Caenorhabditis elegans: one gene and its partner. The protein of the gene in region 1 purifies or fractionates together with the protein of each later gene. This does not show direct contact. Each region holds a gene or a part of one and is shown on either strand. Other genes may lie near its edges.

What was found.
Region 2: the proteins of mbug-1 (region 1) and gly-5 fractionate together in Caenorhabditis elegans (co-fractionation; one large-scale study listed by BioGRID). This does not show direct contact.

The regions. Positions count from the first base shown.
Region 1 is NC_003282.8:12,971,127-12,978,073, reverse strand, and holds mbug-1 (CUB-like domain-containing protein), read right to left. Parts: upstream 4,451-6,947; 5' UTR 4,416-4,450; coding exon 4,355-4,415; intron 4,308-4,354; coding exon 4,079-4,307; intron 3,675-4,078; coding exon 3,565-3,674; intron 3,515-3,564; coding exon 3,313-3,514; intron 3,089-3,312; coding exon 2,973-3,088; intron 2,923-2,972; coding exon 2,777-2,922; intron 2,721-2,776; coding exon 2,659-2,720; intron 2,611-2,658; coding exon 2,511-2,610; 3' UTR 2,471-2,510; downstream 1-2,470. Other genes in the region: dod-17 (CUB-like domain-containing protein), read right to left, coding at 1-48, 97-242, 292-407, 757-958, 1,023-1,132, 1,422-1,650, 1,706-1,766.
Region 2 is NC_003281.10:13,184,314-13,192,014, reverse strand, and holds the start of gly-5 (Polypeptide N-acetylgalactosaminyltransferase 5), read right to left. Parts: upstream 4,624-7,701; 5' UTR 4,565-4,623; intron 3,906-4,564; 5' UTR 3,880-3,905; coding exon 3,772-3,879; intron 3,717-3,771; coding exon 3,453-3,716; intron 1,888-3,452; coding exon 1,769-1,887; intron 724-1,768; coding exon 389-723; intron 1-388. UniProt on the Caenorhabditis elegans protein: Catalyzes the initial reaction in O-linked oligosaccharide biosynthesis, the transfer of an N-acetyl-D-galactosamine residue to a serine or threonine residue on the protein receptor.

The DNA of each region.
Region 1 (6,947 bases):
AAAGGTGTATGCGGCTGGAGAACCACGGTAAACTGTTAAGTTAGACTCCTGAAAAATTAGTAAGTTTAAGGGTATTCTTAAAACTTCGAACCCTACATTTATCATCTGAGCATCAATCATTTGCATATTGATATTAGCTACTGAAACAAGAGAAGACATCTGTGTCCCACCGTGTACCGTTCCATTATAGATCGAGTTCAATTGCGGCCGGAGTTCCACCATCTCATCGATTCCAGTCAAATCTGAGATTTTATTGCCAGTTGTGGTTGTTAAATTCACGCTCAAACTCACATCTGTTAGCTTGAACTAGAAGAATATCCTTGGAGAGACTAGCTTCAAGGTTCACTACAAAAATAGCGTTTTGGGTAGAAGCCCATTGTTTTTTCGTCTGGCAGAGAAGGTTGAGACTGTAATAATTCAAGACAATAATCATCAAAAAGTAAGCTGGATTTTATCTCTAAAATTTAAGTACAAAGATTTAAAAGAACATTTCGAATTAGCTCGGCATTTCTGAACAACTTTTGTTCAAATTTGAAATTTTCCGACCTCATTTTGTTTTTATTGATGTTATTCAATTTGTTGAAAATTAGTTGTGAAATTACCCTGATTTCTTCGAGTTTCATATAATACTATTTTCAGAACCGTCTTTGATTTATTGCCAAAAAGAATTTTTTATTTAACTGAAATAAAAAAAACAAGTATTCAATTTGTTTTACTTACGAGCAACTTTATTTTTTTCACGAATAAAATACCTACTTTGAAACATAATTCGCTGAACTCAAGCTTCTTCCCTCATACACCAACGCGCTTCTCAACGAAGAATAGCTCGTTTCGTTCTCAGGGAAAACCATCAAAGTGATGCCACCACCTTCACTGTATTCATGAGCATATACTGCATTTGTAGCATTTATAATCCATCCAGTCGGTCCTGTGCTGTATTCGAAATCTACTGTTGGAACTGAAATTCACAGATACTTGACAAATTGCTCATAACAATTTATAGAAATGTAGGGATAACTCACGTGGCCACCAAACAACTTTAAATGCAAAAGTAGCTGAACCTTCGTTAGCGACAGTGAGTGTGAATTTTGGAGCAGCAAAGTAATATGGTTCCATGTTTTCTTGAGTAGTCCTGAATTGGAAAAATTGAAAAACGTTGGATACATCATATGATCCACATAACGGGACAAGCTCATGAGCTTGTCTTTATTTCTCTGTTAACAAAATCGTATTAGCTCTACACTAGAATAATGTTATATAATTTGCTATTTTTTGCATCGAAAAAAAAAACAACCAGTCGTTTTCCAGACACTAACCAGTTCAACCAAAATTGTTTGATCATTTTACAAGACTTCCCAAGTTCACAGACCATTCCAAATACACATTTCAGATTTAATTTGCAGGTTAGCAAAATAACTCACCGAATAAGATTTCCTGCAGCATCCACAGTCTGGAATCGTGAATCTTTGTCAGTTGTCTTTCCACTGATTATCAGTTTTGCATAATATCCACGTGGAACTGTCACAATCCAACTGCAAGACTGCCCATTATCCAGCTGAGGAGCAGGCTGAGTCTCGTTCCAAGCAGCTGGCCAATATACAGGCGTACCATCAATTACAGGCTTGTTGACAGATTTTCCAAGTGTGCAACCTGAAATTAATTAATTAGCCAATTTCAAAATTATAACTTCTATAATTAGTTTTACCATTTCCAGCGGCCGAAATTGCAGTAGCAAACGCTAGACAGATGAATAGTTTCTGTAACATTTTGTTCGTAAGTCTGAAATTTTATCAAGTGCCCAAACGAAATATATAGAGCTTTTAGGATGATAATCAAAAAGTATGAAACTGGGCGTTTTGTCATCAAAAAAGTATTCAGCACTGATAACAAAAGTTTAAAGCATAAGTTTAGAGTGTAAACTGATGTAATGTCTCTTGGAGCGCAAGAGTTCAAGTATTTTTTCAACAAATATTTTCTCAATGCATACAGAATATTGATAGGAAGTTTCTCAGTGCTTAAACAGAGTTGCAATAAAAACTTCAAAATCATTTGTTCGAGTTTAATTTCTTGATCTTGGTCTAATGCTCCTTATCTTTTTTGGAATTTTCATTATTTGGTCTAAAACTTTTAGAATCATTTTGCTATAAAAAAGTTCTTTGAACGATATTAATATGCAGTTATCTTGAACAAAACTTGTAAAACATAGCACGTGGAATAACCACAAATAATAAAAATTTTAATTTTAAACTTCTAGGATACGTTTGAGTGAAACCTGAGTTGGATAATGCTAGGAGGAAACACGTGTAAATAATTTTGCAATTTTAAGAATCGAAAAAATGTTTGCTGGCTCTGAATTTAGTGAGAGGGTTTAATCTTCAACACAATGTTTTAAAACATGATTGTGTACGAGTTGCCAAGTTGCAAAATCGGTGGTCTTTGCACCAAAAGCTCAAAAGCTCTAAACAGTACATATGCATCAAATGTTCAAATTTTTATTTAAAAACAGTAAATCAACTTTTAAACGTGAATACAGCCTTGCCACTGCTGACCACAAACTGCACAAAATATCCGCCAAATGGCAGTGGAAGTGCTTTTTTCAGCTCTGCTCCTCTGAAATAATCAAGATTCTAGAATCGACTGTAGTTAAAAATAACATACGTGTAAGTTTTATCGAGAGTGAATGCGTCTGGAGATCCATAGTAAACTGAGACAGTGGAGTCCTGAAAAAAAACAAAATTTAGTTTGACGGAAAAAGTTCAACTTCATTAAACTCTACATCTTTCATCTGAACATCGATCATTTGCAATTCGAGATCAGATACTGCAACAAGTGAAGACATATGTGCTCCCGCGTTCACAGTTCCATTATAGATCGAGTTAGGTTGCGGGTGGAGTTCCACTATCTCATCGATTCCAGCCAAATCTAAATAGTTATGCTCTCACTTCAACGGCTGAGTTGCTGTTTAGACTCACACACGGATCCTTGAATAAGAAGTTTATTCATGGAACGACTGGCTTCGACGTTCACTACGACAATACCGTCTTGACTAGATGTCCATTGCTTCTTTGACTGGTTGAGAAGGAATAGACTGAAAATAATACATCCATGATGTCATGGCTAAACTAGATTTAACAAAACCATGCGAAATCTGTGAATACTGCAAACACACAGGCGGGTAGAAAAACAAAGTTAACAAAAATGCTTTAAAAATATCCAACTGGACAGCTGGAATGGGTACCCGAAACAAATTTCGACTTAGATTCTGGAGCACCTCCGAAAAAGGAGCAACTGATGAAAAGTCTTACAACTCACTTTGAAACATAGGTTGCAGAGGTCAAGCTGCTTCCATCATATATAAGTGTGCTTCTCAATGAGTTATAGTTTTTCAAATCTTCTGGAAATGTCAATAAAGTGATTCCTCCTGGTGCAGCGTATTCCATAGCAACAACTGTTTCTGTGACATTAATAACCTGCCCAATAGATGCAACAATATCAACATATTTTTCTGTTGGAACTGAAATAAGGAAAATATAAGCTAGAAATGCATAATACTGGTAAACTTACGTGGCCACCAGACAACTTTGAATGCAAACGTAGCAGATCCTTCATTGGAAACAGCAAGGGTGAATTTCGAAGCCGGGAAGTAATAAGGTACCATTTTTTCGTGGGTAGTTCTGTAAATATGAAATGCCATGAATAACTAAATTTTGAAACATTCAAAGAAGCTTAATTTAAAAAATGATATGATCCGAATGTGCGCAGATTCGAACTTTGATATTTGTTGCATATGCAACAAATTATGTAAAAAATTTAAATAAACATATCAAAAAATTGTTTCATGCTTATTTTTTATAAGCTGAAGCCTTACAAATAGCAAACTGAATATTTTATTTTATTCTATCAACTATTTTCAAGTACTCATTATTTCCTTAACAATTTCGGGAAAGGATCGAGCAAAATGCCAGCTATCACAGTTTTCAAAATATACAGACCAAACGCTATAAATTATTTGATTTACGAGATTTCCATGGACCATACTTTATATAGAAACACCATTTAAAATCCAAAAATAACTCACTGAATAAGATTTCCTGCAGAGTCTACAGTTTGGAATCGTGAATCCTTGTCAGTTGTCTTTCCACTGATTATCAGTTTTGCATAGTATCCACGTGGAATTGTCACATACCAACTGCATGATTGCTCCTTTTCCAGCTGAGGAGCAGGCTGGGTTTCGTTCCATGAAGCTGGCCAATAAACAGGGGTACCATCAATAACGGGCTTGTTGATTACCTTACCGATTTTGCAGCCTGAAATTTAAAACATTTCAAATTTCAAAATTTGAATTCAGTCTTACTGTTTCCAGCCGCCGAAACAAAAACAACCACAGTCAAGAAAGCCAATAGTTTTTGAAACATTTCAGAGTGAAATCTTGAAACTTGAAATTTTGCATATTCTGAGACTGATTATATACCAATTTTGGAAGATACGAAAAGGGCGTTGGATCATGAAAACGGTTATCAATTGTTGTTGATAAGAGAATAAGGAACACAAACTGATAAGGGATTAGTAGGTGGGATGACGTTTTGTAGCACCTCGGCAAATTGCCGCAACTTATTTACCAACTTTAGATACTTTAGAAATGCCAAGTGCAAAAGTTGCTAAAATTTGGTAAACAAGTTGCTAAAGTTGGGCAAATAGGCTAAAGTTGGGGATGCCCTCAAAATTTGCACTGAAAATTTTTCTAAAATTGGCTAAACTTGGTTAAAAAGTTGCTAAAGTTGGTGGATAAGTTGCAAAACGCTAAAGTTGGCGCTTAAGTTGCTAAAGTTGGTGTAAAAGTTGGGACGAAATGCCGAGACGAAATTCAGATCTAGATCGACTTCATTATCAGATTTCAGATTTTGAATGAAGCGAGATTTGTGGCGTAGTGCAGGTGGCGCTCAGCTACAATTAGATGTTTATGCTAGGAGCTTCTCTGTGTGTTTTTTTTGTTGGATTTTTTGATACCTCGCATGGTTACTTATCTTGCAGTTTTTTGGGAATTGTCAGCTTCCGGGGCGGTTTCCTCAACAGTTCGTATGTAAATGGTTTGATGGTCAAAGTTGCAGTACTACAGTCGTGCTGGTCGCAAACAGTTTGAAGCACATAAGTCGGACCGGAAATGTGCACGGTTTATCAAAAGCTAAATGACTTTTGAACGAGTGTGATGTGATGATGTGTTGTGTGATTCATGGGAGGCAGGCGCGGTTTCGCCTGCCCGGATCCCACTTCACAAGTTTTCCACGTGTATATTTGAAAATAGGAAGAGGCAGGTGGGGTCACCTAAAAGTCAGGCAGTCAGGAAGGCAAGCAGGCATTTTGGTGTCTGTATAACAGTCCTAGGTGCCAGTATAACTTTAAAACAAGAAATTCGAAACTCATGTTTTCTACTTGAGCCAAGAACATAACATATTGTTTTTTTTGTTCAAAAATCTAGAAAGATTCTTATAAAATCATACTGTCACATTGAAAATTTATTTTGGTGACTAATTTTTGATAACCCCATCTGGAAGTTTTAGCAGAATCTGTCCACGTTTTTTTCCGGGTACAATGGCGCTACCAATCCGTGCGATCTCCACATCTGATCTACAGAAAACTATAAGAAACAAAATGTGGTTTCTGCCGTTTCAAAAAAAAAAAATTACGAACTGTATGAGAAACCGCCCCCGGAAGCTGACAATTCCGCAAAAACTGCAAGATAAGAAACTAGGAGTACGATCAAAGAATCAAGATAACTCTAGTTATCAAATTAAACATTTAGTTGTGGATGAGTAGCTACACCTTGTAACAATATTTCTCTTCACACGCAGAAACATGTTGAAGCTGATATCTGTTAACCAGAAGAGGATCTAGACTTTGGTATACATGGAGTTACTTGATTTCAAATGACGCCACACATAAAAAAGATCCCTTATCAGTTTGAGCACTAAATTATCTTTGCAAAAACAATTGATAACTGTTTTATGAAAAAAAAACGCCCTTTTTCGTATGTTTCATTGGCTCCCAAAATGCGGTATATAAACTGTCTCAGAACATGAAAATTTCAGATTTCAATTCGAAATGTTCAAACGACTATTGACTTGCTTAGCCGTGGTTGCTGCTGTTTCAGCCGCCGGAAATGGTAAGATCGGTTTTAGGGATTCATATTTTAACGTAAAAATTACAGTCTGCAAAGTTGGTAAGGCAATCAACAAGCCTGTAATCAATGGCACGCCTGTGTTTTGGCCGGCTTCTTGGAACGAAACCCAGCCCGCTCCTCAGCTGGAGAAGGGTCAGTCGTGTAGTTGGATTGTAACGATTCCACGCGGATATTATGCAAAACTGATAATCAGTGGAAAGACGACAGGAAACGATTCAGTCATTCAAACTGTCGACTCTGCAGGAAATCGTATTCAGTGAGTTATTTTACAAATTTCAAGGTGGAATTCTCATAGAATCTACGCTTAGACTTGTTAGGCGCCAAGCACATCTGAGGGTTCATACTGTAGCCTCAGATCGATTGATCCTTGAAGGGTTGGGGCACCACGTACAAGGCCCGGACGCGGTTTTTTCCGCCATCAGTTTTCTACAATGTGGTGCTACAACGCTGCGGCATTGCAGTACTCATGGTTCATTTGTTCTGGCGTTTTATTGATTGATAAAGAATTGCGCTGAATAAGCGCAAACGTCTACAAGTTTGCCAGCAATCGCTTTAAACAACAAGTTTGAAGTTTGCGAAGTTTGAATATTCATAATATCAAATGTTTCCAGAACAACCCAAGAAAACATGGAACCCTATTACTTCCCAGCCTCAAAGTTCACCATTGCTGTTACAAACAAAGGATTTGCTACGCTTGCATTCAAAGTTGTTTGGTGGCCACGTTAGTTTATCGATATCGTAGATTCCTAGTTTATCTATTCCCTTTTCA
Region 2 (7,701 bases), on another chromosome or scaffold:
ATTGTGTTTCACTTTTTCTTTTTTTATACTGCATTTTGTATTTTATTAGCTTCACAAAAATAAAAGGAGTTCACCAAAATTTGTCGTGACAAGACCAGGAAAACGGGCTTTTTACGTCGAAAAAATTTCCAGTAATTTCAAAATCGGGGCTAAATTAAATTTATCCAATACAGTTTTGGTCGAAAATTTAATTTTTACCTTCCATTTTTTGACACAAAATTGATTTTTTGTTGATTTTTTTTTTTTTGAAAATTTGTTTTATCAAGACCAGGAAAACTGTATTTTTTCGTCGAAAAACGTCGAAAATCGCGAAATTTCCAGTAACTCCAAAATCAAGGCTAAATTAAATTTATCCCGTACAAATTTTGATCGAAAATTTAATTTTTACCTTCCATGCACTCGCAATGTGAATCCAAATAAGTCAACACTTCTCCAGTAGCGACGGCAGCTCCACGAAGTCTTGCTCGAATCAATCCCTCACGCTTCTCCATTCTCAAAATCTTGACTTTTCCACCAAACTGTGACATGTATTCTTCCAACGGACGTTTCGTGTGATCCATATCCGAAAAATCATCAACCAGCACAACTTCTTCCAGTAAATGATCGGGAGTACGTTCAAGAACCGAGTGTACTGTTCTGAGAAGCACTGACCATGCTTCATTGTGGAAACAGATGATTACAGACGTTCGCGGCAGATTTTCATTGTATTTTTCGGTTTTACATCTGCAAAAAAAGAAATTAAATTTTTCCAAATATTGATTTTTTTTTCTTTGTTTCTCTAAAATTATTTTGCAGAAAAAATGCTTTTTTGTACAGAATTTTTTACTTTTTTTCCGTTTTTCTCTCAAAAATACAGAAAATTCGAGAATTTTTAAGTTTTTTTTTGAACTTTAAAATGTTTTTTAAGAATCAGAAAAAGATAAGAATTCCAGCCAAAAACTGCAAAAAATAGTCCACGTGTAGTACAAAATACTTCGTAAATCGACAACATTTTTGTAAAAGAAATTTCTAGGTTTTCCTATATTTTTTCTGATCAAAATGAGCAAAAATTTGAAAATTTTTTGGAATTTTAGCCAATTTTCAAAAAAAAAATCGTTTTTTTTCCGGAAAATCAAAAAAAAAATTGATTTTTTCTTTTTTAGGATTTTTTTAAATCGACTTCTCGTTTTTTTACAGATATTTGCAAGAAAATCGATTTTTCGATTTTTTTTAAAGGAAAATTATTTGGAATAAATCGATTTTTCGTTTACTTCAGTTTTTAGGGAAATTTAAAAAATTTTTCGATTTTTTGTTTTTTTTTAAACAATTGTTTTAAAAATTCGATTTTTTTTTCGTTTTTTTTTCGGAAAATGAAAAAACGTCGATATTTTCGATTTTTCGGAAAATCGAAAAATTTAGATTTTTTGTTCTTTTAGAACATTTTAAAAATTTCGATTTTTCATTTTTTTTAAGGCAATTCTTTTAAAAATTCGATTTTTTTTTTCGTTTTTTTTTTTCGGAAAATCAGAAAAAACTTCAGTTTTTTAAATGAAAAACAAAAAAAAAATTGATTTTTTCTTTTTTAGGATTTTTTTAATCGACTTCTCGTTTTTTACAGATAATTGCAAGAAAATCGATTTTTCGATTTTTTTAAAAAGAAAATTTTTTGAAAAAATTCGATTTTTCTTCTTTTTTTCCGGAAAATCACAAAAAAACTTCAGTTTTTTAGGGAAATTTAAAAAAATTAATTTTTCGATTTTTATGAATTTTGGAATAAAAAAAAACCCACTCAGCATCAATATTAGTTGGCAAAGTTCGATGTACTGATATCATATCAGATGCGTATTGATTAAAAGCGTTGTTGAGCATTCCCTTGTCGTATTTTGCCTTTTCTTCGGTCGATAGTTTCTGAAAATTAGAAAGAAAATAAAGTTTTTTTTTTTCGTTGATTTTAAAGGCAAAACATCAAAATTTCGAAAAAAAAAGAACTAATTTCCACTAGAATCTTAGATTTTGGGGGCCGAAATCGGCCTAAAATGACCTAGAGTGGCTAAAAAATGATCGCGAATTGGATAAAAATGACTAAAAATTACCCAAAATCACCTAAAAATTACCTAATGTGACCAAAAAAAAAAATGAAAATTCGGCCAAAAATTACTAAAATTTCTAAATTTTGCTAAAAATACCTAAACGGACCAAAAATAATCAGCAGTCGGTTGAAAATGACTACAAATTACCGAAATTGGCCAGGAATGTCGAAAATATTTCATATTTAAAATAACTTGATATTTAAAATATTTTAGACATCATTTTTAATCATTTTTGGCCAATTTTCGAAAATTTCCGAGCACTGAAGTGATTAAAAATGTCTGAAAAATGACCAAATTTGGCCCAAAATAGGCGAAAAATGACCAAAAATGACATAAATATTTAAAATATTAAATATTTTAGAAATTTTTATTCATTTTTGTCCAATTTCAGTCATTTTTGGTGATTTTGGACCAAATTTGGTAATTTTTTAGTCTTTTTTTTAATGACTAAGCATAATCGAAAATCGGCCAAAAATGATTAAAAATGACCGAAAATATGTACCGTATTTCTTCTATTAATATGGCTGCAATAATATTTTTCGATGGTCTTCCGCTTGCAATACTAATAGGGAGTGCAAGACTATTAGGGAGTGCAATACTAATTTTCAGAACATTTTCTGACTTTGAGCTTACTAGTTTTTTTCCTGAAAAAACTCGAATCTTATGTGAAAATTCAGAAAATTTGATTGTAATTGCAACAAAAAGGTACAATAACTTCAATTTCATAGAAATTTTACCAAAATTGTTGCAAAGTAGGCAAAAAATGTTGTTAAAATCTCAAAATTAGTAGGGTGGGTTTGTACCAAAAAAAAAAAGTAGATGCAAGACTATTAGGGAGTGCAACACTAACTGCAATACTAATTTTCGGAGGGTTTTCAAGGAGCAATACTAATAGGGAGTGCAAGTCTAATAGGGAGGCCATATTAATAGAAGAAATACGGTATATTATATACATTTTAATCATTTTCGGCAAATTTCGGTCATTTTTAGTCATTATTGGCCAATTTTCGGCAATTTCCGAGCGCTGAAGTGACTAAAAATTTCTGAAAAATGACCAAATTTGACCAAAAATGATTAAAAATCGGCCAAAAATGACAGAAATTGACCAAAAATGACCAAAAATAACCAAATTTGGCCTAAAATTAACTAAAATTACTTAAAATGATGGAAAATCAGCCAAAAATCAGTAAAAAATGACCGAAATTGCCCTAAAATGATTAAAAATCTATACGGAATATTTTCATTTTTAAAATCATTTTTGGTAATTTTTGGCCAATTTAAGTCATTTTTGGCTCATTTTTTTCGCAATTTTGAGAATTTGAGCACATTTTGAGTCCACAAGTTCAAAGAACCGTTATTCCTCAAGAATAATCAAATTCTCACAGTTTTATCGACGACAACTGCCTTTCCAAGCTCTCCGGCTTGCGCTGCGTCTCCTTTTTTATAAATCGGATCGTTCGGATCGACCATAAATTTTGGTTTGGCCAAGTTCCCGCCGGGTTGCTCTTCTTCTTCCACTTTATTATTCTCTACGACAGGTTCCGGCTCAATCGGCGGCCCAAATCCTTGAATTACGTCTTGTTTCGCGGCTTTCGGGTGGAAATTCGCCTCCGCAATTTTATTCGCGAGATCGTTATTTGATCCGATCTGAAAATGGGATTTTAATCACATTTTTATTTTTTTTATTTTTGATTTTTGATACCTGGCTACTATCATTGCTGGTTGCTGCGAAAAAAATCAACGAGCAAATCCAAAAAACTGGAACCAAGAGGAGAACTTTTAATATCGCCTTTTTCTTGAATATAATCATTTCTCAGCGGCAAAATCGACCCGTATCTGCAAAAAAATTAATTTTTGATTAATTTAATTGGGAAATTTCTCAAAATATTTCGATTCAGCTCAGTAAAAACCAGTAAAAACTAAATTTTTCGACAAAAACTCCAAATAAGGACACATCGTCCACGTGTAGTACACGGGTGGTGACCTAGAAACCGACAACTACGTACTACACGTGGACAAAATCGGTGGAACATGTTTTTGGCAGGAATATGATGGAAAAACTATAATTTTCAGGAAAACTAATAAATAGCAACAAAAAAATCAATAGAAATTCGAAGAAAAATCAATATTTTCTAGTTTGACCTCAAAATGATCAAGTTTTCAATGTTAAAACAGATTTTTTTAGTTAGTTTTTTTCTTTTTTTTTCTTTAATATTGTTTAATATGACACTTTTCAGATTTTTGCGTCAGAAATACAGATCCAGGTCTCGACACGACAAATCCTTGTACTCATTGAAGGTGTGCGCCTTAAAATTAATTTTTCAGCTTTTTGAAATTTACTTTAGATATTTGATAATTTAATAGATTTTCATCGAAAAACTAAAAAATCAATAAAAATTCCGCAAATGAACAAGTTTGAAATTACAGTACTCTTTAAAGGCGCACACCTTTTTTCAAACATTTGTCGTGCCGAGACCCAGGGTACCGTAACCTACCGAAAATCCTCCGTTTTATGCTTCAATATCCCTCAATTTTGATAATATAAGTTTGCTGCCTGAAAAAAAACGAATTAAATTGTGAAAAGTAGTAGTAGTATTGGAAATTCGAGTAAAACAAGGAAATTTATAATGCAAACTTTTTCGGACCCAAGGCATACTGAATTCAAATTCACATTAAAAATTTTAGGTTGACGTGGACAATGACGATGAGCAGCAGCATGCAAGGCATGTTAACGATAATATTTGAACAGTTGGGAAGGGAAGGGAAGAGGGTGTATAAGAAGAGAGCATAGAACAGAACCACTATCTTTTTTAGCTTCTCTAATACCTCTTACTCTCTCTCTCTCACACTATATTTACTTTTTTCGGTGGTTTCGGTCAAGTTCAAATGTGCTCGAGAACTGTAATGTTTCAAGTTCGCAATGAGTCACGATTTCGATTTTCCGTGTATCCTAGAAATTTTGTGAGAGAAATAGTTTTAAATGACTCCCTGATTCCGAATATCTAAGTGAAAAAATTCTAAAAAATTTCCCTGATATTATATTTCAGCTTAAAATCGCGATGTGTCGATTTACGAGATTTTCAATATCTTCATTTTCGTCGCTTTTTTCCAAAGTTTCGTTTTTTAAGGTCAATTAAATATTATTTTGCCAAAAAACTAACAAAATTTCCATTTCTTAGGTCAAAACTCGACGAATTCCACGGAATTCTGGCTGTTTGCCGAACTAGGCCATTTTGGGTCGGAGAGATTTTGTGTAGATTTACGGCGCGTTGCGTGTCGCGTCGCGGCTCGTTTTAGTTGTAAAACTGAAGTTTGCTGTCCGTGAGGAGTACACGACACTTTTCCACGCGCTGTCCGGCAGGCGATTATCAATGGAGCGCGAAAATTCAATGAGAAATGCCCAGAACCCCGTGGACGAAAAATCCAAATATATGCTTTTCCCGCCTAAAAATCACAAATTTTGTTAGTTTTTTTAATGATATAACAAAAAAAGTGACCTTAAAAAAAGCACAGTTTTTTTTTTCACTTAAATATCGGAATCAGGGAGTCATTTTAAAATTGTTCTAAAAAGATTTCGATACTCCACATTATAAAATTTTTTACGTCAAAAACATCATTTCCCCCTTATCATCCATCTTACCATTCACACCCATTTTGCTCAAACAGACGCCCACGCCCTTTGCATACTTCTCAAATGGAAACTTCTATTGATAGTGAACCCAGAAGACAAAAGAGAAACGTGGTCATAACTGGGGGGAGTTGTTTGCTGGTTAGAAGAGCCCCGGACGTGCTCAATTGAGCATGACGAATAGGTTGGAGAAGAGAATGTCAGAGACACCTACTTGTAGTGAGAGGGGAACGAAAATGTCTATAGGCTAGGCTAAACTACAAATCATCTTATTTTTTCGATTAATGAAGAAAAAAAATATTTCGAAAAGGGCTTATGTTTGCAATTTTACTACAAAAATTCTGGAATTTCTAGGAAAAATGAGAACGCGAAAAAAAATTATTTGAAAAATTCATTTGGCGCGGTGAGACCCTTTCCAAAATTACTTTGTGCGAGCGCCTTTAAATTGATCTTAGAAAAATTGTTATTGTTTTCTTATAGTTACTAAGTAAGTAAGTAAGTTCTACTCGGTCACAAATTAGCTATAAAAATCTGTAAATTATAAGAAAATTTGAAAAAAAAACATTATACAGTAATCTTAAAGGTGCATACACAATTTTAATTCGAATTCCCGCCGAAATTTTTCTGAAGAAATTTGAATTCCCGCCAAATTTTTTCCATAGTAATTTGAATTCCCGCAAAAATTTTTCCATAGAAATTTGAATTCCCGCCAAAATGTTTCTAGAGATATTCTAATTCCGCACGTGGTGTTAAAGTGTCTTATTTTGGTTCGATCTACAAAAATGCGGGAGAAGAGACGCAGACTTTTCAATTAATTTCTAATGGTTAAGAACGTGCTGAAGTCACATTTTTTGGGGAAAAAATCCCCCATTTTTGTAGATCAAACCGAAATGAGACACTTTGACACCTCGTGATTCCGGCCAACTTTTTTCTGAAAAAATTTGTATTCAGTTCCAAACAGGACACCAGAAAAGCACAGAAACCACGTAGCACCACACAAAAAAAACAAAAAAGGAAACAAATGAAAGCCATCTCACTCGACGACCCGCTTTCCGTTTATGCTAAAAAAATAAAACAACGTGTCACTTTTTTGCCTCGCGTCCCTTATTTTTATGTCTGACATGCTCTCTCGTCAATTTTTGCAAACATTGCAATTTACGAGCGTATATTGCGGAGCGGTCTCCTGCACCAAATACATTGTACAGTTTAGCAGAAACGAGGGAAGTGGAAACTTTGGAAGGGGAGCTATAAAAATTTGGGTACATTTGCGCTTTCACGCGGTGTCAGAGTGTCTCATTTTGGCTTGATCTACGTAGATCTACAAAAAATGCGGGAGATGAGACGCAGAGTTTTTAACTGATTTCGTATGGTTAAGAACGTGCTGACGTCACATATTTTAGGGCGAAAAAATCCCGCATTTTTTGTAGAGCAAACCGTGATGAGACAGCCTGGCCGCACATGCGCTTTCAGAAAAGAAAAGTATGAACCAGAAAGGAAAGAATTCCGTATTAGTCATTGGATGCTTTATTGTACAAAATTCAATGGAAGATGGATACGGTACTTTTTTTTGAAACACTAAAATTAATTTCCACAAGTCATAACTTATTAAAGGCACACGGATTTATTCAGATGGGTCTCGACGCGCAAAAAGTTTCCTTGTTCATTTTACTTGTATTTTTCCGTTTCAGCGAATTTTGCGCACCGAGACCCATCTGAATAAATCCGTGAGTCTTGAGATTACGATATTTACTCTTACTATTCTTTCAAATTTTTCAAGAATTATCGTAGAATTGAGTTTTTGTTGCGTATTTTAGAAGGTACAGTAACCCAAATTAAAATTCATAAAGTTAGATCGTGGCGAGACCTAAAACATAATGCACCTTTAAACTGATAAATTGCAATATTAATTTTTTGAATTTTTTTTGAATATTTTTTTTTCAAAAATTTAAATACAAAATTTGATGTTCTCGTGTTACCCAGTTGCGAAAATTTTTCATCCGGGTC